4 linked regions of the Macaca mulatta genome follow. The protein of the gene in region 3 interacts with the protein of the main gene of each other region in a pairwise test. Links are inferred from orthologs where the notes say so. Each region holds a gene or a part of one and is shown on either strand. Other genes may lie near its edges. The genes, in order: NUP58, PBX3, PKNOX1 and PBX2.

Region 1 (5,973 bases), on a different chromosome or scaffold from region 3:
TGATCGTATTGTTATTTTGAAACTGTTGTGTATATAATGTGGAGTAGAATAAATGAGTATCTGGGGGATACTAAAACATTATTGGTGGCTGGGCGCAGTGGCTCACGCCTGTAATTCCAACACCTTGGAATGCCGAAGAGGACGGATCACCTGAACCAGGAGTTTGAGACCAGCCTGGCCAACATGGTGAAACCCCGTTTCTACTAAAAATATCAAAAAAAAAAAAAAAAATTAGCCTGGTGTGGTGGTGTGCCTGTAATCCCAGCTATTCGGGAGGCTGAGGCAGGAGAATCGATTGAACCCAGGAGGCGGAGGCTGTAGTGAGCCGAGATTGCGCCACTGCACTTCAGGCTAGGTAACAAGAGCAAGACTCTGCCTCAAAAAAAAAAAAAAAAAAAAAAAAAGGGCCAGGCGCAGTGGCTCACACCTGTAATCCCAGTACTTTAGGAGGCCGAGGCAGGTGGATCATGAGGTCAGGAGATCAAGACCATCCTGGCTAACACGGTGAAACCCTGTCTCTACTAAAAATACAAAAAAAATTAGCCGGGCGTGGTGGTGGCGCCTGTAGTCCCAGCTACTCAGGAGGCTGAGGCAGGAGAATTGAGTAACCCAGGAGGCGGAGCTTGCAGTGAGCCGAGATTGTGCCATATATATATATACATATATATATTTTTTAATGTCTTGACAACATAACTGAAGATATTATGAAATATTACATAATTAAAGTTGAAAATGCTGCCAAAGAAACACATCAAAATGAAATTTTACTCTATCACAAAAGCAAAAGAGAAATTTTGGTGTCAGTGAAATTTACTAAACTCAAGAAAAGCAAAAGCTACCCTAGACTTGACCAATTATTGCCTCAAACCAATGTTATGTGCCAAGCACTTGATAGGATGTGCTGTATAAAAACCAACTTGACTCAATCACATCAGGAATGTTATTTTAACTTGCCAGCTTGCCCTAATGCGGACTTGGCAGCTAACATAATAGCTAACATTTACTGAGCACTTAGCAAGTGCCAGACTTGATGCTAAATATTCAAATGCTTCATCTCACTCATCAACTCAGGTAACCCACTCCTGAGTTGAGGAGTTCCAGATGTGAGAACTCCCCTAAAATGACCGACCTCAAGACATCAAATCACCAGGTGGCACTAGGGGCTGTCAGGCCTCCCAACCAGCACTCTAACAAATTTATGTCAGACTGTCTCCTCTTTCACTAATTTATCCAAGCCTCTCTAAAACTTGGGTAATTTTTTATAACTTATTACTAATAACTCATTTGCTCAGTCATTCAAATTGTTACTAAAGCCCTTTTTCTATGCCAGGCACTGTCCTTGGGACTGAGGAAGAGGTGGTAAGACTCAGACCCTGCCCTCAGGCAGTTTCTAGTTAGTGAGAAACACAGATATTAATTATTCTAGAGCTGAGATCTGACAACAAACAAGTTAACAATAAATGTAACAAACTGATTACAATTGTGATCAGCACTCTAAGAGTACTAGGAGAACAGAAATCTCCCCTAGACTGACAGGTCAGAAAAGGCCTCTCTGGGGAAAAAGACCATTTGATACTGGCAAGGAAGGGGCTGGCAAAGCCCACTTGAAAAGAGAAAAGGTCATGTTGCTAGGACAGGCTTTCTCACACTAAGATCAGGACCATGAGAGAAATATAAAAATTAATTCAAGTCATAAACAACATTAAAAAAAAAGAAATAGAATAGAAAATATCAAAGTGCATCCCATGAAGTAGGGGTTAGTATCTTTCTCGGAAACTTTATTTCAGTGATTTATTTGTGTGCAGGTAGTGGTGCACCGGGTGGTAGTTGCGTGTTTGTTTTTAACAGTGGGTCTGGATAACTAAAATAAAAAGACGGGCTCAAGATGAGTACCCAGAGGTTCCAGCAGAAGTGGACCTTGCAGACTATGGTAAGTTTTTTTGTTTGTCTGTTTTCTTTAACTTCACTCTAAAGATAGCGGGAAATGATTAAAGGGGGGAGCAATGACAATGTTTTAAAAAAAATTACTCTGGCTACAATGTGGCAGAACAGATTGAAGAAGTTGATTGGAGTAGTTTTCATCTAAAACAAGAAAGACAGCTGGTTAAAAATCTGACAAGAATCAGAAGTACTTTCGTAAGAATGTTAAGGATCAAGAGAGCAAGACTCTTAATACCTAAAACAGAGCCCTGCACATGGGAATCTGTCCAATAAATATTTGTTCCATGAATGATAATAGCCTGAGCAGGGTGGTGGAACTGGAAATAAAGACAAACGGAAATGGCAGAAGTAAAATTATTAGGACCTGCTGTTGAGCGAGTAAGAATAACGGAGGTACGGATGAAAATTCAAATTTCTGAATTTGACTGTGTAGCCTGTGATTCCTCCTCCCTCCCTTTTTAAACTGCAGGTCATGCTTAAGTTTTTGCCTTTTAAATCTACAGCCGCATCTTTTAAGCTTCAGGAAGTATCTTGTTGACAGTGTGCACACTCCTTAATTTTATGAACCCCTCCACCTTTATCTTTTAAAAAATTGAGTTCTAAAGCTTAAATCTCTCATTAAAATAAATGCCTCACCACTTTGTTTCTTTCTGGACAGTTATGTTTTTGTCGCCACCTGGACTAATGGGTTGCACAAAAACGAGGAACATGCTACCTACGTTTCGTAATTTAAGTAAAAGACAATGTTGAGTGATTACAACACAACATTCTTGCGTCAGATATACTAATCTGCACATAATGCACAAAATTACCACTAAAAAACACTGCAAAGAAGTGTTTTTTGTTGTTGTTGTTTTAACAAAAGCAGATGAGGTCCCATGTGGCACAGAAGCTTGAAAAGCTGGTTAAAAACAACCACAAAGTTATTAAAACACCGTAATATCCAAAACCGCAAATGCTGCAATGAAATTGGAATTATCTACCATAAAACTCCACAACATGCTATAATTTCATTCATTCATTCAACGTTCATTCTACGCCTAAGACTGACGCATCGCTAAAGCTCCGGGGAAGACCCCCAGGCCCCTCCACGCAGTCAAGACCTCACTAGGTCCAAACAATGCCTGAACTATACGCGGATCTGGAAACCTCACAGCACAAAACCCATCCCGCCCTCCACTTCACCAGGCCGCGCTGGGCCCGGGTACCGCGGCGAGCGAGAGGCCTACGACGCCGGGCGGCTAGATTATGTGCTTCTCTCCAGCCTCACCGGGAAGGAAGCCAGCGGGAAGAGAGAGGACGGGGACACGAGGGGAGCTTTGCGGGGGTGGGGCTCGGGGGGAATCCGGCCCAGGAAGGTGAGAAAGTGCGGTTACCTAGATGCTCCCGTTCCGAAGGAGAAACCGCCGCCCGTGCCGGTCCCGCCTGCGGCCACGGTGGTGGAGCCCAGAGTCCCGGACCCGAAGGAGAACCCTGTGGACATGTCTGCCCGGGGCTCGACGCCGTCAGCAAGATGAAAGGGCTCTGGGACACTGCTCTCGCCTCAAAGCCGAGGCGGGCCGGGGAACATCTCTCTAGCCCGGCACCGACCTGGCGAGAACTTCCAGCCCCAACGGCGGCGAAGGTAAGGCTGAGGGGGTGGAGCAACCACGCAAAAGTACGCCCGTCGCTCGCCGCGCGCACGTAGCCCGCCGGAAGTGAAACCGCCGCGCAGGGAGCTCTGGGACGCCAGTTGGGAGGGGTGCGGGGGGGGGGGGGGTCGGCGAGCCGCGCAAGGCACCCCGGGACCAGGTGGGCTTGGCGCACGGCCCAATCTCTTAAAGGAGTAGGCTCCCAGAGTTTAAAAACAGTGAAACCATTTCTGTCATTTTTTAGTTGTTCTATCGTAGCATCCGTACTGACATAATCTGCACATTAGAATGATGAATGTCAATTACTGCTCATATGTAGCCTCCTGCCAAAAATGATGCTCAGAATCGGGGAGGTCCCTCCTGAGCATCTCCTAGCTCCCCACCCAGAAAAGGAGGCGGCTTCGGGCCTTCGTTGGCTGCCGCCCCATCATCTCTTAAGAAGGAAGGGGAGCGTGTCTGCTTCCTGAAGGTTCGGAAATCAATCGAAAATAATCCATGCAACCGTCCGACGACGTGAGCCCCACCCCTGCGCCTCAGGCCAGCTGGACGCCGTTGTTGCGAGCCCGACGCGCGGCCCTGAAATGGGCCCAGAAGAGCGTCCCCGGCGTCCGTGGGGTGGCCGGCTGTGGTCCTAGCGCCCAGAAGTGGCCAGGCCCGCGGGATTTCCTGGTCTGCGGTCAAGTCCACAAACGCCGTACGCGCATCCTGATGCGGGAGGGCGGGACCTGGGGCCGAGCGCGGGCGGCTGCGCCGGAAGCGCGGTGCAGGGCTGTAGGGCGCGCGGACACACCGCGTGCTGCAGGCACCGTGAAGTGGAAGGTTAGGAAACGCACAGGAACGTGTACGAGAGAAGGCGAGATGTGGAGGGGAACTCACATTTCTAGGGTAACTCAAGAAAAATTCGCGTTTAAAGAGAACCTCTCTGGCGAAGCGTCGGGAAAGGCTTCCTGGTGGTGGTGCATTCGAGGGTGGTTGTCGTAGTGTTCGTTTTTATTTTTCCCTCAGGAATTGTTATATTACCCCCCCCAATGGTGTTCCCACTCGTGATCTCTAACAAAATCCATCCCATAAGCAACCCCCGGATTTATGATCTAAAAAGCCCAGTGGCTCTTTAGTCTGGCACTTGATGACCTCCGTATGAGGAGTCTTTCTAACCTCATCTCACAGCTCTCTGTAATTCAGTACTTTAATCTTGCGTTGAGCTTGGGCATTGCCACCAGCTGTGGACGGAACTATTTCCCTCCTCCCCCAATCCGTATGTTAAAGCCCCGCCCCACCCCGATATGTTGGTATTTGGAGATGGAGCCTTTGGGAGGTAATTCAATTTATATGAGGTCACCCGGGTGGGTCCCCCATGGCGGGATTAGTGCCTTTAAGAGAAAAAACAACAAAGAGCTTGTTCTCCTTTGTGTGCCATGTGAGGACAGAGCAAGAAGGGGCTTTCACCTGGAACCCAAACTGCCCCATCTTTATCTGGGACTTAGTCTCCGGAATTGAGAGAAGTAAATGGTGTTACAGCCACCTCAGTCTATGGTATTTTGTTACATCAGCCAAGCAGACTAATACACCACCTCTGTGTTTGTATAATTGAAACATGTACATTTTATTTTATCTATTTTTTAACTTAATTTATTATTTTTTAAATTTATACTGTATTTTGAGATGGAGTCTCGCTTTGTGGCCTTGGCTGGAATACAATGGCCTATCACTGCAACCTCCGCCTCCTGAGTTCAAGCGATTCTCCTGCCTCAGCCTCCCGAGTAACTGGGATCACAGGCGCACACCACCACGCCCGGTTAATTTCTGTATTTTTTAGTAGAGATGGGGTTTCACCATGTTGGCCAGGCTGGTCTCGAACTCCTGGCCTCAAGCGATCTGCCCACCTCGGCCTCCCAAAGTGCTGGGATTACAGGCGTGAGCCACCGCTCATGGCCATAACATTTTAAACGTCATGGAGGTCATAATGGGAATGATAAAAAAGAAAAAAAGGGATATATTTGGATTAAGATATAAATAAAAACTTCATAGTTATCGAACAGGAGGCAAAAATAAAAGATTGTTGTGAGTTTTAAAGCTTCAGTGATATAGAGAAGGCTATTTTCAGTAATGGCTATAGGGTGGTCAGTAAGAGGATTGTTCACATAAAGTCTTCCTTTTGACTGAAAAATAAAAGGTCCACATGATTTTTATGGGAAGATAGAAAGGCACTCCCTATGTCTTTGATTTTCTCTTGTATTCTTCCCAAAACTTTTGAAGAATACCAACCTACAATTAGTAATAGCAAAATGGCTGGCACTTAAGAAATATATATTAATGAACAAGACTTGTAATATTCGCAGGAAGGAAAGAGCATGTAAAAATATAGGAACTAATATGTTCATAATAGGGGAAACTGGGTGTG
Region 2 (5,409 bases), on a different chromosome or scaffold from region 3:
TATGCATATATCCAGCATTGGAAAACTACCGTAGTTTTTAAGCAAAGCAATCAGAGTAGCACAGTGATGTTATAGAAACAAACAAGGGATATGGAGGATGGGCTGGAGGGCAGTAGGACTGGAGACAGGGAGACTAGTAGGTACTGTGCTAGTTCACGTACAAAAGGATGGACAGGAACTGAGACGGAAAGAAAGAGCTAACATGAAAAACGCTGAAAATGCTCCACACACTTTGTTTTCCAGTTGAGAAGCTATCTTAGTCATTTCCTTTAATATTGTGAGATTTGGATGATAATTATCACCTCTGTCAGATTCCATGGGAGAAGAAAGAAAAACAAAACAGAAACTCCTTTCCAAAGCTGCAGATTGATCATAAGCTTTGGCAATGCCCCGAGAGGCATCCCTACAGAGGCAGCGTACACTAGGACGTTGACAATTCTTCTGTTCTGTCACTCAGTAGGTCACCACATACAATTTATTACCATATACAATATATTACCTAACTCCTGTGAAACTTGGGGAAAGCTTCGGATAAAGGGAAATTTTCATCCTTACAGGAAAAATGATAGGCTTTCTTTCTTGATTTGGATATACAGACTCTGGAGCTTTGTGGTAACTGCTATTAACTGAAATGCCTCTTCCTTCTTAGGAGTATCAATATCTCCAAGTATTTTCCGATAATATGCACAAGCAGTGTAACATTAAGAAACTCTTAGAAAATACCCCTTGTTAAAATAGTTATATGCAGAAAACTATCCTTAAAAACACTTTTTAGCATCAGAATGGAAAGGCTACATATTCCTAAAGCCATCAGCAGAGACGCCAATCCTATTCATTTCCTGAGTCACTAAACTGGCAACTAACCCACACTACACTACCATTCCCAGACAGGAAAGCTTGACAGCACAGGCACCATGAGTTGAATTACCTGTCCATTGCACAAAAGAGCTCATATGGCCAAAAGAATTTAAGACCAATGGGTCAGTTTTACAGAAAAGAATATACAAGGAGTGAAAGACGGGGGAAAGCCATGCAATAGATTTATGGCTTCACATACCTGGCATCGAGGAACCTTGATCTTAAAATCATAACTGCTTCACAAGTGCTTTGTTTGAGTTGCATTTGAATGGAACTAAATTTTCGATGGATGATGCCCACCATTCTTTCAATCTCTTTTGGAGAAATGGGACGTGTTCTACTCTGTTCTCGGAGAAGGTTCATCACATGTGTAGTAAATTCATTACATGCCTGTAATGGGAAAAAAAAAATCACTCCTTTGGAAACTGATATTTTATATTATCACATAAAGAGATTAACATCTGAATTTACACCTCATTTGCAATCACCAATAGCATTATACAGTGTGTAGGGTAAAACGAAAACTAAGACACTTTCAAAATGGTAGTAATAGTAGTTAAAGCAGCAAGAATTCTGAAACCGTGCATGGTCAGATGTGCAAGGGAGATAGCATTCAGCTGCTCTTCCCACCCACCCCTGTCTAGTTCCAAAATTATGTTTTCCCATTCGAGGATGCTCCCTACCAATTCCCATATACAAATAAAAATATATGTTAATTGTTAATACTAAGTACCACCTATTTTCTCTGGGGTTTTACATTTAGTCAACAAATGCTTACTGAACAACTACAAAGTTCAAACTCTTGCCAGTGCTGTAAGGAACATAGAAATGAGTAAGATGCAGGCCTGGCCTTTGGTGAGAAAAAATATATAAAAAACTAATTCAGTGCAAAGACTAACAGGAAGATATTAATAAGTTCCAAGGAAGGAATATTCTCATCTGTAGGCTTCATGGATTGCGCTTTAAAGAATAGGTAGCATCTTTGAAAGGTAGATAAAGATGGAAGTCAGGAGGAATTCCAGGCACTAGAAATTAACAGTATGTTGCAAGTTCAGAATATGGCAAGTAGGAATACAGATAATATGTAAAGAGGCAAGAAGGATTCAGGCTTGAATTAGCACATAAAGGGCCTTGCATGCCAAGCATTCCAACGACCTATTACAATTTAGCTGTAGTGCAGGCCTTTAGTGGATATAAGCCATCTCTGTATAGCAGCTCAACTCTTCAAGAGATGTCCAACAGAAAATAAGGATCAGATTTGGGTCTCAAACTTTTTAGTTAACAATCCTCAGACATTGTCTCTTTCAGTACACACACACACACACATACACACACACACACACACACACACACACACACACATTTCCCCTAAAATTCAGAGTCTCACTCTGTCACCTAGGCTGGAGTGCAGTGGTATGATCATAGTTCATTGCAGCCTCAAGCTCCTGGGCTCAAGCAATCCTCCCATCTCAGCATCCCAAGTAGCTGTGATGATAGGCATGTGCCACCATACCCAGCTAATTATTTATTTATTTATTTTTTGTAGAGACGGAGTCTCACTCTGTTACCCAGGCTGGAGTGCTGGAGTGCAGTGGTACAATCTCGGCTCACTGCAACCTCCGCCTCCCAAGTTCAAGCAATTCTCCTGCCTCAGCCTCTCAAGTAGCTGGCACTACAGGTGCACATCACCACACCCAGCTAATTTCTTTTAGTCGAGATGGGGTTTCACCATGCTGCCCAGGCTGATCTCAAACTCCTGAGCTCTGACAATCTGCTCGCCTCGGCTTCCCAAAGTGCTAGGATTACAGGCGTGAGCCCTCGCGCCTGGCCCCCAGCTAATTTTTAAATCATTTTTTAGAGTCAGGGTCTTGCTATGTTGCTCAGACTTGTCTCAAACTCTTGGCCTAAAGAGATCCTCCCACCTCAGCCTCCTGAGCTGCTAGGATTACAGGTGTGTGCCACTGTATCCAACTTCATCTATATTCTCTTTGATTTATAAATCTGTATAACTGGGCCTACACTGAAATCCGGTACTGCCCTGGTAAATAAAGCATCAGTTTATACTCCTGAAGAAGAAAAGTCTCTTCTGGCATTTTTCTTAAAAAAGCAGGATGGGAAATTCTGCATCTTACTGCACGGGTGTCCCTGATAGAGTGAGCAGACAGAACAATCACTGATTAATGCAAGACGTGTTTGGAAGTTATGATAATGTCCACTTCCCTACAGGTATCCTGAACACTGCTTACATATAGCACACGATGGTTTTTCTAACTGCTCATTGGAGGACTAACCTTTCCTGTACACTGTGTATTTCACTTACTCTACGCTTTTACAGAGCTTTCCATAAATATTTCTAAGATAAGGTAAAATGAGTCTTACTATGTAAAGTTTTTTCAAAAATGTTTTAAGCCGTAGGAAATATTACATTCCTTGCGAGTGGTGACACTATATGATACAGGATTCTTCAGAGTGTAGAATTATGCAATATACATATCTAATAAACATCTACAAATTGGTGGGCTTTTTAATACTACAATTCAAGAGTGAGAGTTATGTTGGTTAATAGCCATAAATTCATTATCCCTGAACCATAAGAGAAGAATTCTTAATCTGCAGTCAATGGATAGGTTTAGAAGGTCAATGACCTCCTGAAATCCTATACAAGTTGTGTGAATATTAATAATTCTGATGAATCTGTGAAGTTTTTGTTTTCTTTTCAGATTCTCAGTCTATAATTTTAAAAGGTTAGTAATCATTATCCTAGGATATGACATAGTAAAACATTAAGCAATATTGTAGACTAAAACCAGAAGTTGAAGGCAGAAACCAAGATTTAAAAAAATAAATTTAAGATCTTCGCCACTATATTATCAATTTATTTTATTATTATTTTTTGAGATGGAGTTTAGCTCTTGTTGTCCAGGCTGTAATGCAATGGCACGATCTTGGCTCACTGCAATCTCTGCCTCCCAAGTTCAAGCTATTCTCCTGCCTCAGCCTCCCAAGTAGCTGGGATTACAGGCGTGTGTCACCATGCCCGGGTAATTTTTTTTTGTATTTTTAGTAGAGATGGGGTTTCACCATGTTGGTCAGGTTGGTCTCGAACTCCTGACCTCAAGCGATTTACCTGCCTCAGCCTCCCACAGTACTGGGATTATAGGCGTGAGCCTGTAATAAACAGTACATGGCCTATATATTTATTTTGAGACAGTTTCATTCTGCTGCCCAGGCTGGAGTGCAGTGGCACAATCTTGGTTCACTGCAACCTCTGCTTTCCAAGTTTGAGTGATTCCCATGCCTCAGCCTTCCGAGTAGCTGGGATTACAGGCGTATGCCACTGTGCCCAGCTAATTTTTTTTTTTTTTTTTTGAGATGGAGCCTTGCTCTGTCGCCCAGGCTGGAGTGCAGGGGCGCGATCTTGGCTTACTGCAAGCTCCGCCTCTTGGGTTCACACCATTCTCCTGCCTCAGCCTCCTGAGTAGCTGGGACCACAGGTGCCCGCCACCACGCCCGGCTAATTTTTTGTATTTTTAGTAGAGACAGGGCTTCACTGTTTTAGCCAGGATGGTCTCGATCTCCTGACCTCGTGATCTGCCCACCTCGGCCTCCCAAAGTGCTGGGGTTACAGGTGTGAGCCACTGCGCCCAGCTAATTTTTGTATTTTTGGTAGAGACAAGCTTTTACCATGTTGGCCAGGCTGGTCTCAAACTCCTGACCTCAAGTGATCCGCCTGCCTCAGCCTCCCAAAGTGCTGGGATTACAGGCATGAGCCACCATGCCCGGCCTATATTATCAATTTAAACAATTTTATGCCAAATTAGAAACAAGTGGTCACCCTACCAGTAAATATATATATATATATATATATATATATATATATATATATATAGCTTTTTCTTGAACTTTCCCTAAGGAGATGTTTATATAATTTCCAAGTTATATAATGTGGCCAACTCTACCCTTCAGTATTCTCATGAGTAAAACAACAATAATTGAACTAGAACTATTCCCAAACTGGGATTAACAAATTCTACAGTTCTACAGCTAGTTTCATAGAATGTTAACTAATGGTCCAACAATATGGTATGTTTGGGATATGCTGGGTTAACCAAAATCTTAAAAAATGTTTGTGGATAAGACTCTTCAGTATTTCTATCCCAATATTTGTAATAAATCTTCAAGGAGAAACAGTATATCCAACTTTTTCCCAAATAAATGTGGCCAAAAAATTTCTCTCTAGAGTAATACTGTCCAATAGAAATATATTATGAGACACATATTAAATTTTTAAATTCTCAGTAGCCATATTAAAAAAATAAAATACAAAGAATTAGGTGAAATTAATTAACAATATATTTCATTTAACCCAATATATAAAAAATAACCTGGCCTGGGCAACATGGCAAAATCCTGTCTCCAACAAAAATATAAAAACTTAGCTGGACATGGTGGCATGCCTATGGTCCCAGCTACTTGGGAGGCTGAGGTAGGAAGATCACTTGAGCCTAGGAGGCAGAGGCTATAGAGAGCTGAGATTGTGCCACTGCATCC
Region 3 (5,409 bases):
AGCCATGCTGGTGAGGTCTGAGGAGGGGTTAGGAGCTGATAAAACACTTCCCAGGCCCTGGGAAGCACTCAGGTATGAACGGGGCAGCGCTCCAGGTGTCATCTGCACCTGGCACAGCTGTCTGGGAGGAGGTGGCTGGTAGCAAGCACTGCTGTCCCAGGCTGTGTCGGAGGTGGTCACTGTGCTGGGATTACAGGCGTGAGCCACCACGCCCGGCCTTTTTAAGGCTTTTTATACATGCTGGCAGATGGCCTTACAGAAATACTGTGTCCACTTAGGCTTTATTGCTTTTTTTTTTTTTAAGAGAAACAAAAACAGTTTTCCTAATATGTTGTGTACCATTTAAAGGCAGCAGAATAGAAGTCATCTTATTCCAAAAACAAGACGTTGGAGGGAAGAGCGCACAGGGCTGGAGGATGTGAGAGGCATCCTGTGGGAGTGGGCATTCATGGCTGGCCCCCAGGCTGTCTGGCCAGTGGGGATGGCCCCGCCCCCATGAGATCTCCCCACCCCCGCTGCCCCACGCTGCTTCCTCAAGGAACAGAAGCATGGCCAAACCCACCGAGGGAGAGATAGCCGGTCCTGGTCCTGAGGAAGCTGAGGTCTGGACAGTCTAATCTGCTCATGGATAACTAGAAGTTTACTGTCGCAACATTTTGTTTTTGTAAACTGATTTCTTTTTTAGTGATTTACATATTTTTTCCCTAAATGACAAAGACATCGCTTATTTAAAGCAGTTTAAATGGTAGTATCTTTTAAGGCTTTAAACACAGCTGGCCTTTTCCTTCTGAATGCAATGACATTTTTATGGCTATGTATTGCTGAGGTTTGAGGGTAGATATGGGAGAAGTTCAGCCCTGCCACAAATATGTAGCGTATGGGGTTAGGTTGTGTCTGTGACATGGTAAGAAGACCTTGGACTATTTGTTTTTGCTTCTCTGACTGCAATATTACTACATATTAGGAGATATAGCAATAGACAGAGGAGGAAGATTGCATGTGCGCTGTTCTCTTCAGTAGGGTATCGCCAGTGTTATTTTAAAATCACGAGCATTTCACAGACATTGGTTATTTCAGTTCTTTTTTTTTTTTTTTTTTTTTTTTGAGGCGGAGTCTCGCTCTGTCGCCCAGGCTGGAGTGCAGTGGTGCGATCTCGGCTCACTGCAAGCTCCGCCTCCCGGGTTCCCACCATTCTCCTGCCTCAGCCTCCCGAGTAGCTGGGACTACAGGCGCTGCCACCACGCCCGGCTAATTTTTTTGTATTTTTAGTGGAGACGGGGTTTCATTGTGTTAGCCAGGATGGTCTCGATCTCCTGACCTCGTGATCCGCCCGCCTCGGCCTCCCAAAGTGCTGGGATTACAGGCTTGAGCCACCGCGCCCGGCCGGTTATTTCAGTTCTTAAGCAGTTTGAAAATTTTACCTTTATCTGTTTTAAAGCACGTTAAATTCAAACGTGTTGGTAGTATTCCTTACATATGATTGCAGTCATACCGCTGTCTGGCAATTCCCCACTCCAACTGCATTCCTGTTGCAGCATGGAATACCTAGTAGTGGTTTGTGTTTGCTAATAAGAATTGTTTTCCTCCTTTTACAGATGCAAGTAGTGACAGAGTTAAAGACAGAACAAGATCCAAACTGCTCTGAACCCGATGCAGAAGGAGTGAGCCCTCCCCCTGTGGAGTCTCAGACCCCAATGGATGTGGACAAGCAGGCCATTTATAGGTAGTGCCGGGGGTGCCGGCTGTGGGGGCACTCAGAGGAGTGAGGAGCGTCGACAAGTTTGTTAAAAGGAACACTAGAACTAGTAGCGAGGCAGAGTTGTGAGGTGCCATTATGATGTGATAACTGCTCAGCTGAAAATTGTCTCAGATTAAGATGTTATTTCTGGCCAGGCATGGTGGCTCATGCCTGTAATCCCAGCACTTTGGGAGGCTGAGGCCGGCAGATCACTTGAGGTTAAGAGTTCAAGACCAGCCTGGCCAACATGGTGAAACCCCGTCTCTACTAAAAATACAAAAATTAGCCAGACATGGTGACATATGTCTGTAATCTCAGCTACTTGGGAGGCTGAGGCAGGAGAATCGCTTGAACCGGGGAGGCGGAGATTGCTTTGAGCTGAGATCGTGCCATTTCACTCCAGCCTGGGCAACAAGAATGAAACTCTGTCTCACACATACACACACAAAGATGTTATTTCTAATACCTAAAAAAGTTTTAGAAAATAAATCTATAAATTTATTGACATCACTCTGACACTAAGACCAAAGACAATACCAGGAAAATACAGGCCAGTATCCTTCACGAACTTAGATGTAAAAATCATCAATGCAATATTAACAAATCAATTCTAGCAATATGTGAAAAGAATAATACATAGCGACCAAGTCAAGTTTTTCCTGGGAACGCCAGACTGGTTTAGTATTTAAAAGTTGATCAGGCCGGGCACGGTGGTTCACCCCTGTAATCCCAGCACTTTGGGAGGCCGAGGTGGGTGGATCACCTGAGGTCAGGAGTTCTAGACCAGACTGGCCAACATGGCGAAACCCTGTCTTTACCAAAAAATATAAATATTAGCCGGGTGTGGTGGCGCATTCCTGTAGTCCCAGCTACTCTGGAGGCCGAGGTGGAAGAATCACTTGAACCTGGTAGGCTGAGGTTGCAGTCAGCTGAGATCGTGCCACTACACTCCAGTCTGGGTGACAGAGAGTGAGACCCTATCTCAAAAAAAAAAAAAAAAAAAATTTTTTTTAAAGTTCAGCGTAGAATTACATACAAGTCAGCAGTTCTACTTCTATGCATATATATACCTAAGACAAATGAAAAAAGTCCACACAAAAACGTGTACATGAATCTTCATAGCAGCACTGCCTGTCATGGCCAAAAGCTGGAAACAGTGCCCGTGCCCATCAACTAATGAATGAACAGACATATTATGGCATCTCCATGCAATGCAATAATATTTAGCAGTAAAAGGAATGAAGTGGCAGGTGCAGTGGCTCATGCCTGTAATCCCAGGACTCTGGGAGGCCGAGTCGGGCAGATCACTTTAGGTCAGGAGTTCGAGACCAGCCTGGCCAAAAATGGCGAAATCTTATCTGTACTAAAAATACAAAAATTAGGCCAGGTGCGGTGGCTCACGCCTGTAATCCTGGCACTTTGGGAGGCTGAGGTGGGCAGATCATCTGAGGTCAGGAGTTTGAGACCAGCCTGACCAACATGGAGAAACCCCATCTCTACTAAAAGTACAAAATTAGCTGAGTCCTGGTGGTGCGTGCCTGTAGTCCCAGCTACTCGGGAGGCTGTGGCAGGAGAATCACTTGAATCCAGGAGGCAGAAGTTGCGGTGAACTGAGATCACGCCATTGCACTCCAGCCTGGGCAACAAGAGCGAAACTCTGTCTCAAAAAATAAATTAGCCAGGCGTCATGGCAGGTGCCTGTAGTCCCAGCTACTTGAGGGGCTAAGTAGAAGAATCGCTTAAACCCGGGAGGCAGAGGTTGTAGTGACCCGAGATCCGGCCACTGCACTCCAGCTTGGGCCACAGAGCAAGACTCCGTCTAAAAAAAAAGGACTGATACCTGTTACAACACTGGTGAGCCTTGGACACATTATGCTGAGGGAAACAAGCCAGACACCACGGTCACATGTTATAAGATTCCCATTCATACGAAATGTCTAGAAGAGGCAAATGTATAGAGATAGCAAATAGGTTCTAGTCGGCTGGGGTTTGGGAAACAATGGAGAATGACTGCTATTAGATACAGGGTTTCTTTGCAGGGATGATGGAAATGTTCTAAAGTTGACGGTGGCAATGACTGTGCAACTCTAAAAACCGTTGAATTGCATACTTTAAATGGATGAACTGTGTGGTATGTGAATTTTCAACCAGCAGAGGTGTTAGGTGAAATAGTGCAGGCGTACGTGCAAAGACATTCTCATGGAGATGTAGAACGTAAATGGATTATTTTTGTCTTTTCTCCTCAGGCATCCACTATTTCCATTATTAGCTTTGTTGTTTGAAAAATGTGAACAATCTACACAGGGCTCCGAAGGCACAACTTCTGCCAGTTTTGATGTAGACATCGAAAATTTTGTAAGGAAGCAAGAGAAGGAAGGGAAACCTTTCTTTTGTGAAGATCCAGAAACTGACAATTTGGTAAGTGAAATAAATTTTATTTTTCAAAATGTGAAATATGTTTATGAAATTTTAGGCTTCTAAGTAGAACTGTAGACTGCTTGTAGTTCTGCTAAAGGAGAGACTCATACAACTCTAAAAGAACTAATTTTTATGGTGTGTGTAATGTGGATATGCCCGTCTTCCAGCCTTCTCTAGGTATCTTTTATTTAGTTAGTTTTTATTTTTAATTTATTTTATTTGTGTAGACACATCTTACTGTGTTCCCCAGGATGGCCTCAAACTCCTGGCCTCAAGCAATCCTCCCTCCTTGGCCTCCCAAGGCCAAACCTACCCTTTCCTTTAAAAATCAAATAAAGACTGGGTGCAGTGGCTCACGCCTGTAATCCCAGCACTTTGGGAGGCCAAGGCGGGCAGATCACGAAGTCAGGAGATTGAGACCATCCTGGCTAACACAGTGAAACCCTGACTCTACTAAAAATTCAAAAAATTAGCCGGGCGTGGTGGCGGGCACCTGTAGTCCCAGCTACTCAGGAGGCTGAGGCAGGAGAATGGCATGAACCTGGGAGGCGGAGCTTGCAGTGAGCTGAGATCGCACCACTACACGCCACTACACTCCATCCTGGGCGACAGAGCGAGACTCCATCTCAAAAAAAAAAAAAATAAAATAAAACAGGCCGGGTGGGGTGGCTCACTCTTGTAATCCCAGCACTTTGGGAGGCCGAAATGGGTGGATCACAAGGTCAGGAGTTTGAGACCAGCTTGGCCAACATGGCAAATCCCCGTCCTTACTAAAAATACAAAATTAGCTGGGCGTGGTGGCACACGCCTATAGTCCCAGTTACTCAGGAGGCTGAGGCAGGAGAAGCACTTGAACCCAGGAGGCAGAGGTTGCAGTGAGCCGAGATTGTATCACTGCACTCCAGCCTGGGTGACAGAGTGAGACCCTGTCTCAAAAAAAAAAAAAAATCAAATCAAATAATTTGAGTCGCCATGCCAGATGGACACGGGGATTCGGTTCTCTCTGCACAGCATTTGTAAAGGTCCGTAGGGCTGGGGTGTTCGGGCAACATGTCTGTGACCTGCGTCTGTCCTTGGTTTATCATAGACATGGACACAGACTTGAGTTGTATTCTCCAAGACAGCTCTGTCTAGAGGCTGACAGTGATTTGTGGTGCCTTCCTCCCAGGGCCAGGGCTCCAAGATCCAGCATTTTCTGTGCCCTCCGGAGGCAATGGAGAACTCCTTGGTTCCGTCATCACTGGATCGCTCTG
Region 4 (6,029 bases), on a different chromosome or scaffold from region 3:
CCCTTCTCTGTCTTGTGCTTCTCCTGTATTTGGGGTTTGTCCTCTGGAAGCCTGTGTCCTCTTCAAGAGTCGCCTTGTGAGAGCCCCCACCCCTGTGACCCTGAGGGGCAAGATCAGTTGGAGGTGTCAGAGTGAACGCTCCCTGGTCCCTCCGTTGGGGATGTCACTGAAGAGGGGGTCACAGCCTCCTGCCAGCTGCCATTTGCCTGGAAGAAGAGAAAGACAGAGTATAGAAAACAGACAAGGCCCCGGGAGTCCTGTGTGGGCACAACATTACTAGGGAGAATGCCCCTCTGTCCTGCGAGAACTGGACGGAGAGGGGCTTCAGGATCCACTCACCCTCATTTCCCGTGGGCTGTACATCTGGCCTCCCCCGAGGTTCTCCCCATAGCCCCCTGGCCCCATCGAGTGTCGGAGTGACTCCACCTGCAGGCAGCGGAGGAAGGTGTGACAGTGAAGAGAACTCAGAGGAAAGAGGTCTTGGATCCTCAAGTAGGGGAAATGGAGTTGGGGAAAGCCCTACTGGAGAGGAGATGGGCATCTGACCTGGGAAGCAGAATAGGAATCTCCGTTGAGCCCAGGCATCCCCAGAAACATGTCTCCAGATCCTGAGAGATTGAAAGAGCCGCCAGAGCCTTGTGGGGGGCAGAGAGGGAAGAGTGTAATAGAGCCCGTGATGGTAGAAAGGGGATGAACCACAACTCTCAGCTCTTGTGGGGACGTGCTACTATACTCCAATTATCCACAAAACAACACTGCAACACGCAGAAAGAGCAGGCTGTTCCTTAGCCTCCCATGGCCACCCGTGGGAAGAAAGGCAGAACTAAGTTCACTGGAGTGGCCTCTGTCCCTTGACATCTCCAGCCTATCTCAGCTTGGTCCCTGTCACCCCAAAAGGCCCCCTCTCTGCTATGATCTTGCCTAGGTAGGAAGTGGGAACAAAAGCAGGAAGTGTGCAAAACAGTCAGCCGGGGTGACAGTAGGATCCACCTGCAGAGGAAGGGGGTGTCGGGGAGCTGGTGCGGCTGTGGCCCCCCTGGGTGACTGACACGGCGGTCTTGACAGCATAGATGTTTGCCTCCTCTTGGAACTTTCCGATGTTTTTCTTATAGCGAATCCTCTTGTTGCCAAACCAGTTGGAGACCTGTGGGGCAGAAAGGAGGGTCGGGTAGAAACATTTGCCTCCGAAGCCCTTCACTGAATAAGATGTGAGTGACAGCATTTTTTTTTCTTCTGGTCTCACTATGCTGTTGCCCAGGCTGGTCTCCAACTCAAGTGATCCTCCCACTTCAGCTTCCCTAGTAGCTGGGATTACAGGAACACACCACTGCACCTAGCTGAGATGCGTGCATTTTGCCTGACAACTCCTCCCGAAACCTCCATAATACCTGAGACACGGTGATGCCACACTTCTTGGCAAGCTCCTCCTTGGCCTCCTCACTGGGATATGGGTTACTCAGGTGGGAGTAGAAATACTCATTGAGGACCTCAGTGGCCTGTTTGCTGAAGTTACGGCGCTTTCGTCTACAGAGAAGGGAGAAGAGCGGTGAGGAGGGTGTTGGTGTCCTGGCAGGGCTGTTACATGGCATGACCCCAGAGTCACCATTGTCATGGAGTACCACGTTGTGCAGCATGGCAGCTAAGGGTCTTGGAGAGGAATGGGAAGGAGCCCAGTGCTGGGGGCCAGCTCGGGTCCCTGGGCCCACCTGGCGTCCAGGAAACGGGAACGCAGGATCATGACAGCCTCACAGGTGCTCTGCTTGAGCTGCATCTGGATGGCGCTGAACTTTCGATGGATGATGCTCACCATGCGTTCCATCTCTTTGGGGGCCACGGGCCTGGTGCGGCTCTGCTCCCTCAGCAGGTTCATGACATGGGTTGTGAACTCATTACATGCCTGTAGTGGGGGCCAGTGGGCTGCTGAGAAGGAGCCCTTTGGCCATGGGATTCCCCTGCAAGAGCCCTTCCCTCCACCCTCCTCTCCTTACCTGCTCATACTTCTCCAGCTCCGAGTGGTATATGTGACGGATCTGGGCAAGTTTGCTGCGATAGTCCGAGTGTTCGATGGAGTTGTCAGGGGACACGCCGCCCCCAGAGGCTGCAGCGGCTGCAGCTGCTGCTGCTGAGCCGCCCCCTTTCTCGGGCCCAGCCACACCCTCTGCCAGAAGCATGTTGTCCAAGCGCATCAGCTGTGGGTCCACCGGCTCCTCCTCCTGGGAGCTCCGAATGCTGAGGCCTAGCATGCAGGCGAGTGGACTTAAGGACCCAGGGACCCCATACCCAGTGCTCAGTCCTCCTGGTGCTTCCTGGAGAGCCAAGTTCCCAGGCTTTGGTTCCTTCCCCAGTGCCCCTGACTCCTCACTTTCCTCAGGCCCCCAAGCTGTCACACTCTAGCCCTATAATGAACAGATTTGTGTCCCCAGAGTTGAGCAACCAGAGGAGGGCCCACATACCGGTTTTCTCCTTGATTTCACACAGGACGCTAAAGAGAGCAGGCTTCATTCGGTGGCAGTTTAGGGCGTGTTTCCTTGGGAGGAGTGGGAGTGGGGAAAGAGAAAAGTTGAGGAGCTAGAGAAACAGAGCAGGGGGCCTGAGAACAAGGAGGGAGGAGGGTCAATCTGCAGAGGGAGGAAGCGGATTGGGGGTGGAATGGAGTTGGGGAGGGGAGTTCTTGGGAAAAGATCAGCTCCCAGAGCATGGGGAAGCTGCTCGGCTTCAGGGTGACACAGGGAAGATGCAGGCAGCAGGCTAAAGGCCGGGGGCTTTGGGAGATGGTCTAGAAAAGTATGAGGAGGAATTTGGGAGTGGATGGAGAAAGGAAAGTGACTTGGTAGGTTTCAGAGGTAGAGAGACTGAGGCTGGGGTTGAGAAGAGTCGGAGTTTGAGGTGGCAGAGCGGGACTGGGGGTGCCGAGCTAACTGGGGACATCAGTGTTGTGTGTGTGAAGGGGTCCTGGGGCTGAGCAGGTGGGAGGCTTTGATGCACCTAGTGTCTGGCTGAGCCGTGGAGAGGAGCTTTAGGGGCTCTGGAGAGGGTGTGGAGGTCTCCACATCTGGACAGAATGAAGGGGCTGGGTGGAGAGTTAGGGAAGAAGATAACATAGCCCAAGAACAGTTTCTGAGTCTGGGAGCCAGAGGGGGCTCCCGGAGATGGGGCTGTTCCAGGGGAGTGTGGGGGTCAGCAAAAGGTTAGGAGTGGGGAGCGGGGCCACCTGGGGTTCCCTCTGTGAAGGTTTCAAGGCCTGGGGGTGAAGGGAGGTTTGAGAGGGATCACTTTTCTAGGGGCTCCCAGGAATGAGAGAAGAGAGCTGTTGGATCCTGGAAGAGGGCCCTGGAGTTGGGGGGCTCCCAGTAGATTCAAAGCATGTGAACGGGGTTTGCTGGGTCTGTGTGGGGTCCCGGGGTGGGGGCACTCACTTGGCCTGGGCCTCGTCCAGGCTCTGGTCGGTGATGGTCATTATCTGCTGCAGAATGTCCCCGATGTCTTGCTTCCCTCGGCCTCCCGGGACCCCCCCGCTACCCCCACCGGGGTCTCCGCCACCGGGAGGCTCGCCAGGGCCCCCAGGCTCCCCACCCACCAATCCCAGGCCCCCCCGGCCCCCGCCTGGAGGGGGCGGCCCCAGTAGCCGCTCGTCCATAGCTGGGGGGGGGCCCTGAGGCCCCCTCCCTGCTCCGCCCCTCCCCCCCGCCTGGTTACTTCTCCCCCCAAACTCGCTGGGGCCGCTGCTCCCTCCGCCCCAACCCCCGCCCGTCTGCCCCCGGCTCCCGGCTCCCCCGGGGGTTCACCCCGGCACTGAAGGGAGACCTGGGGTACCGGCTGGGCCCCCCACAGGAGACCCCGGCCCCCGGCGGCGGAGAAAATGGAGCCGGAGAGAGAGAGGAGGCCCAAGCGGGGGTGTGTGTGAGAGAGAGGGAGGAGGGAGGAGGGAGAAGGGGGGGAGCGAGGGAGGGAGGCTGGGGGAGGGGAGCCGGGGAGGAAGAGGAGGGGAGAAGAGAGGAGGAACAGGGAGGAGCTGGGGGCGGAGAGAGAGACACAGAAACAGAGGAACTGAGACCGAGTGGAGGAGGGGAGAGGGAAGAGGGGCTGAGGGGAGGAGACGGGCCATCTGAAAAATATGGGAAAGCCCCCTGGCTGGACTTCCGCGGCCTGGGAGTGGGGGCGTGTTGGCGGCTGCGGGGATCTGCCACCTGGGTCCTGAATCAGGGATCTAGGCGATGTGGACTCACGCCGCTGGAATGCCTGGGTTCACCGACAGCTCAGTTCATATTTCTTGTTCTAATGACTCCCCTCCCTGTTCTACTTAATTAAAACCAGGAGAGGGGGGCTGGGGGAGATAATTAGGGAGGTCTCCAGCCGCTGCTTAATGAGCCAGTAATTAACCAGCCAGGGAGGGGAGCTGGCCTCTGGCCAGACTGGGGAGAGAGGCGGCCTCTGGCCTCACCTTCCTACCCTTCACCCCGCCCTGGTCCCCCAGACACCAGTCTTCAGTCCAGAGGGGTATTACATTTATTCACACAACCAAAACATTGGACAGACTCAGCAGCAGTGGGGAGGGAGGGTGGGCAGGGCTGAAGGTCCATTCACAGCCTCTAAACCCCTCAGTCTCAGGGATGGGGGGTGCTGGTAGTGGGACTGGGAGAATAGTCTTAATCTCTCAGGTGCCCACCCACCTTCCCTTCTTACTGGGAGGAAGGGTAGAGCTGTCTCTCAGGTTATAACCTCTCAGGAGGAGGCCTGAGCCCTCAGACCCTAGTGCCTAGTAGCTCGACAATTGGTGGTGTCCCCACAAGTTAGGGAAAAGACTCCCAGCCACTCATTGAGATGGGTGCTTGGGATCCCCCTTACTGCCTCAAGCTCCCATGGACCTGTGCAGGGGGGAGTTAAATCCACGTTCCACCTCGCCTGTTCCCAGAGTTTGAGGCCTTTCACCCCGTCCAGTTCCCAAGGAAGGTGATGTGGGCGATGAATATTGAGATTTGCGCTGCGTCTTTCAGTCTCTGTTACCCCCGCCAAGCAAGAGTTGAGGGCATGCAATAGGCTGCCCAGCTTTCAGACCAGGGGCGAGGAAGGGCTGGCTGGGGGCTCAAGTCTCAGCAGGTGTGTGTGGGGGGCCGGGACCTTTGCTCCTCCATTCGACCCCCACCCTGAACTCTCAGCAGCAACTCCAGGAGCTCCTGCCCCCCTGGAGGGAGGGGAGGCTCTGACCGCTGGGCTTCCATCCGCTGGCACTGGAGGAGTGGAGGCAGAGGAAGAGCTTTGGTGAGGGTCGGAGGGGAGGAGGTTCTTGAGAGGATCAAGGGTTGGTATGGGGAGGCATATAGGAAACCTGTGAAGGTGATGGGGTGCCTAGGGAGAAGCAGGAGTAGAACCCAAAAGAGAACAGGGCCAAGAGACCAGGAGGCCTGGGTTTGCCTCCTGGGGGGATGTCTTACCTGGTGACTGAGGATGGTGCTGTAAAGCTGTTCTCTGTCCTCAAGAGGACGGAGTGGGGCAGGGGCTTGGCTTGGGGGGTTTTGTGGGGTGAAGAAGGTGGCCCTCTGCTCCTCTAGGCGGCGGGACTGGGCTTCAGCCACCAGGTCCAGAAGGAGCTCAGTCTGCAGGGAGAGCAGGGAGGCCGAGCGGGGTCCTAGTGCTGGGGAGAGGGGTGTGGAGGGCTCAGAGACCCAGAGAGGTTGGCAGACAGGAGCCGTGGGGGAGTGTGGATAGGGTGATGTGATTAGGGACTTTGGGTCAGAGGAGAGGCGGTGCAATGGGTAATCCCAAGGGGAGTCTGGAGGAGGTGGGGAGAGGGCCCACAATGGACTGGGCCTTGGTAATGGGATCAGGATGTGGGCACCAGGGTCAGGGCTCTCCCTGGGTGGGTAGGGGTACCTGTGTGGCGGGTCCCTGGAGGAGGAGGGGACGGAGGAGCAGATCGCCAAGGCCGAGTGGTGGAGTTTGGAGGGGGCCAGCCTTGCTCATCCTGAGGGGGGCCCTGATGCCAAAATATGTCCATTCCAGTCAAGCAGTGGTGGTTGAAGTGGGTGGAG

Evidence for each region.
Region 1: the proteins of PKNOX1 (region 3) and NUP58 interact in binary tests that used the Homo sapiens proteins (3 or more experiments, as listed by UniProt). The link is inferred for Macaca mulatta from reciprocal best matches to the Homo sapiens genes PKNOX1 and NUP58.
Region 2: the proteins of PKNOX1 (region 3) and PBX3 interact in a two-hybrid assay, tested with the Homo sapiens proteins (2 studies listed by BioGRID and IntAct). The link is inferred for Macaca mulatta from reciprocal best matches to the Homo sapiens genes PKNOX1 and PBX3.
Region 4: the proteins of PKNOX1 (region 3) and PBX2 interact in binary tests that used the Homo sapiens proteins (3 or more experiments, as listed by UniProt). The link is inferred for Macaca mulatta from reciprocal best matches to the Homo sapiens genes PKNOX1 and PBX2.

Annotation. Positions count from the first base shown.
Region 1 is NC_133422.1:5,528,628-5,534,600, reverse strand, and holds the start of NUP58 (nucleoporin p58/p45), read right to left. Parts: upstream 3,574-5,973; 5' UTR 3,425-3,573; coding exon 3,318-3,424; intron 1-3,317. UniProt on the Homo sapiens protein: Component of the nuclear pore complex, a complex required for the trafficking across the nuclear membrane.
Region 2 is NC_133420.1:21,804,058-21,809,466, forward strand, and holds part of PBX3 (pre-B-cell leukemia transcription factor 3), read right to left. Parts: intron 1,249-5,409; coding exon 1,058-1,248; intron 1-1,057. UniProt on the Homo sapiens protein: Transcriptional activator that binds the sequence 5'-ATCAATCAA-3'.
Region 3 is NC_133408.1:4,482,597-4,488,005, reverse strand, and holds part of PKNOX1 (homeobox protein PKNOX1), read left to right. Parts: intron 1-1,595; coding exon 1,596-1,723; intron 1,724-2,213; exon of another isoform or gene 2,214-2,715; intron 2,716-3,984; coding exon 3,985-4,156; intron 4,157-5,324; exon of another isoform or gene 5,325-5,409. UniProt on the Homo sapiens protein: Activates transcription in the presence of PBX1A and HOXA1.
Region 4 is NC_133409.1:150,129,441-150,135,469, reverse strand, and holds the start of PBX2 (pre-B-cell leukemia transcription factor 2), read right to left. Parts: upstream 3,876-6,029; 5' UTR 3,638-3,875; coding exon 3,417-3,637; intron 2,528-3,416; coding exon 2,454-2,527; intron 2,237-2,453; coding exon 1,989-2,236; intron 1,898-1,988; coding exon 1,707-1,897; intron 1,525-1,706; coding exon 1,326-1,524; intron 1,145-1,325; coding exon 991-1,144; intron 636-990; coding exon 542-635; intron 446-541; coding exon 340-445; intron 207-339; coding exon 114-206; 3' UTR 1-113. Other genes in the region: GPSM3 (G-protein-signaling modulator 3), read right to left, coding at 5,091-5,228, 5,433-5,632, 5,872-5,974. UniProt on the Homo sapiens protein: Transcriptional activator that binds the sequence 5'-ATCAATCAA-3'. Activates transcription of PF4 in complex with MEIS1.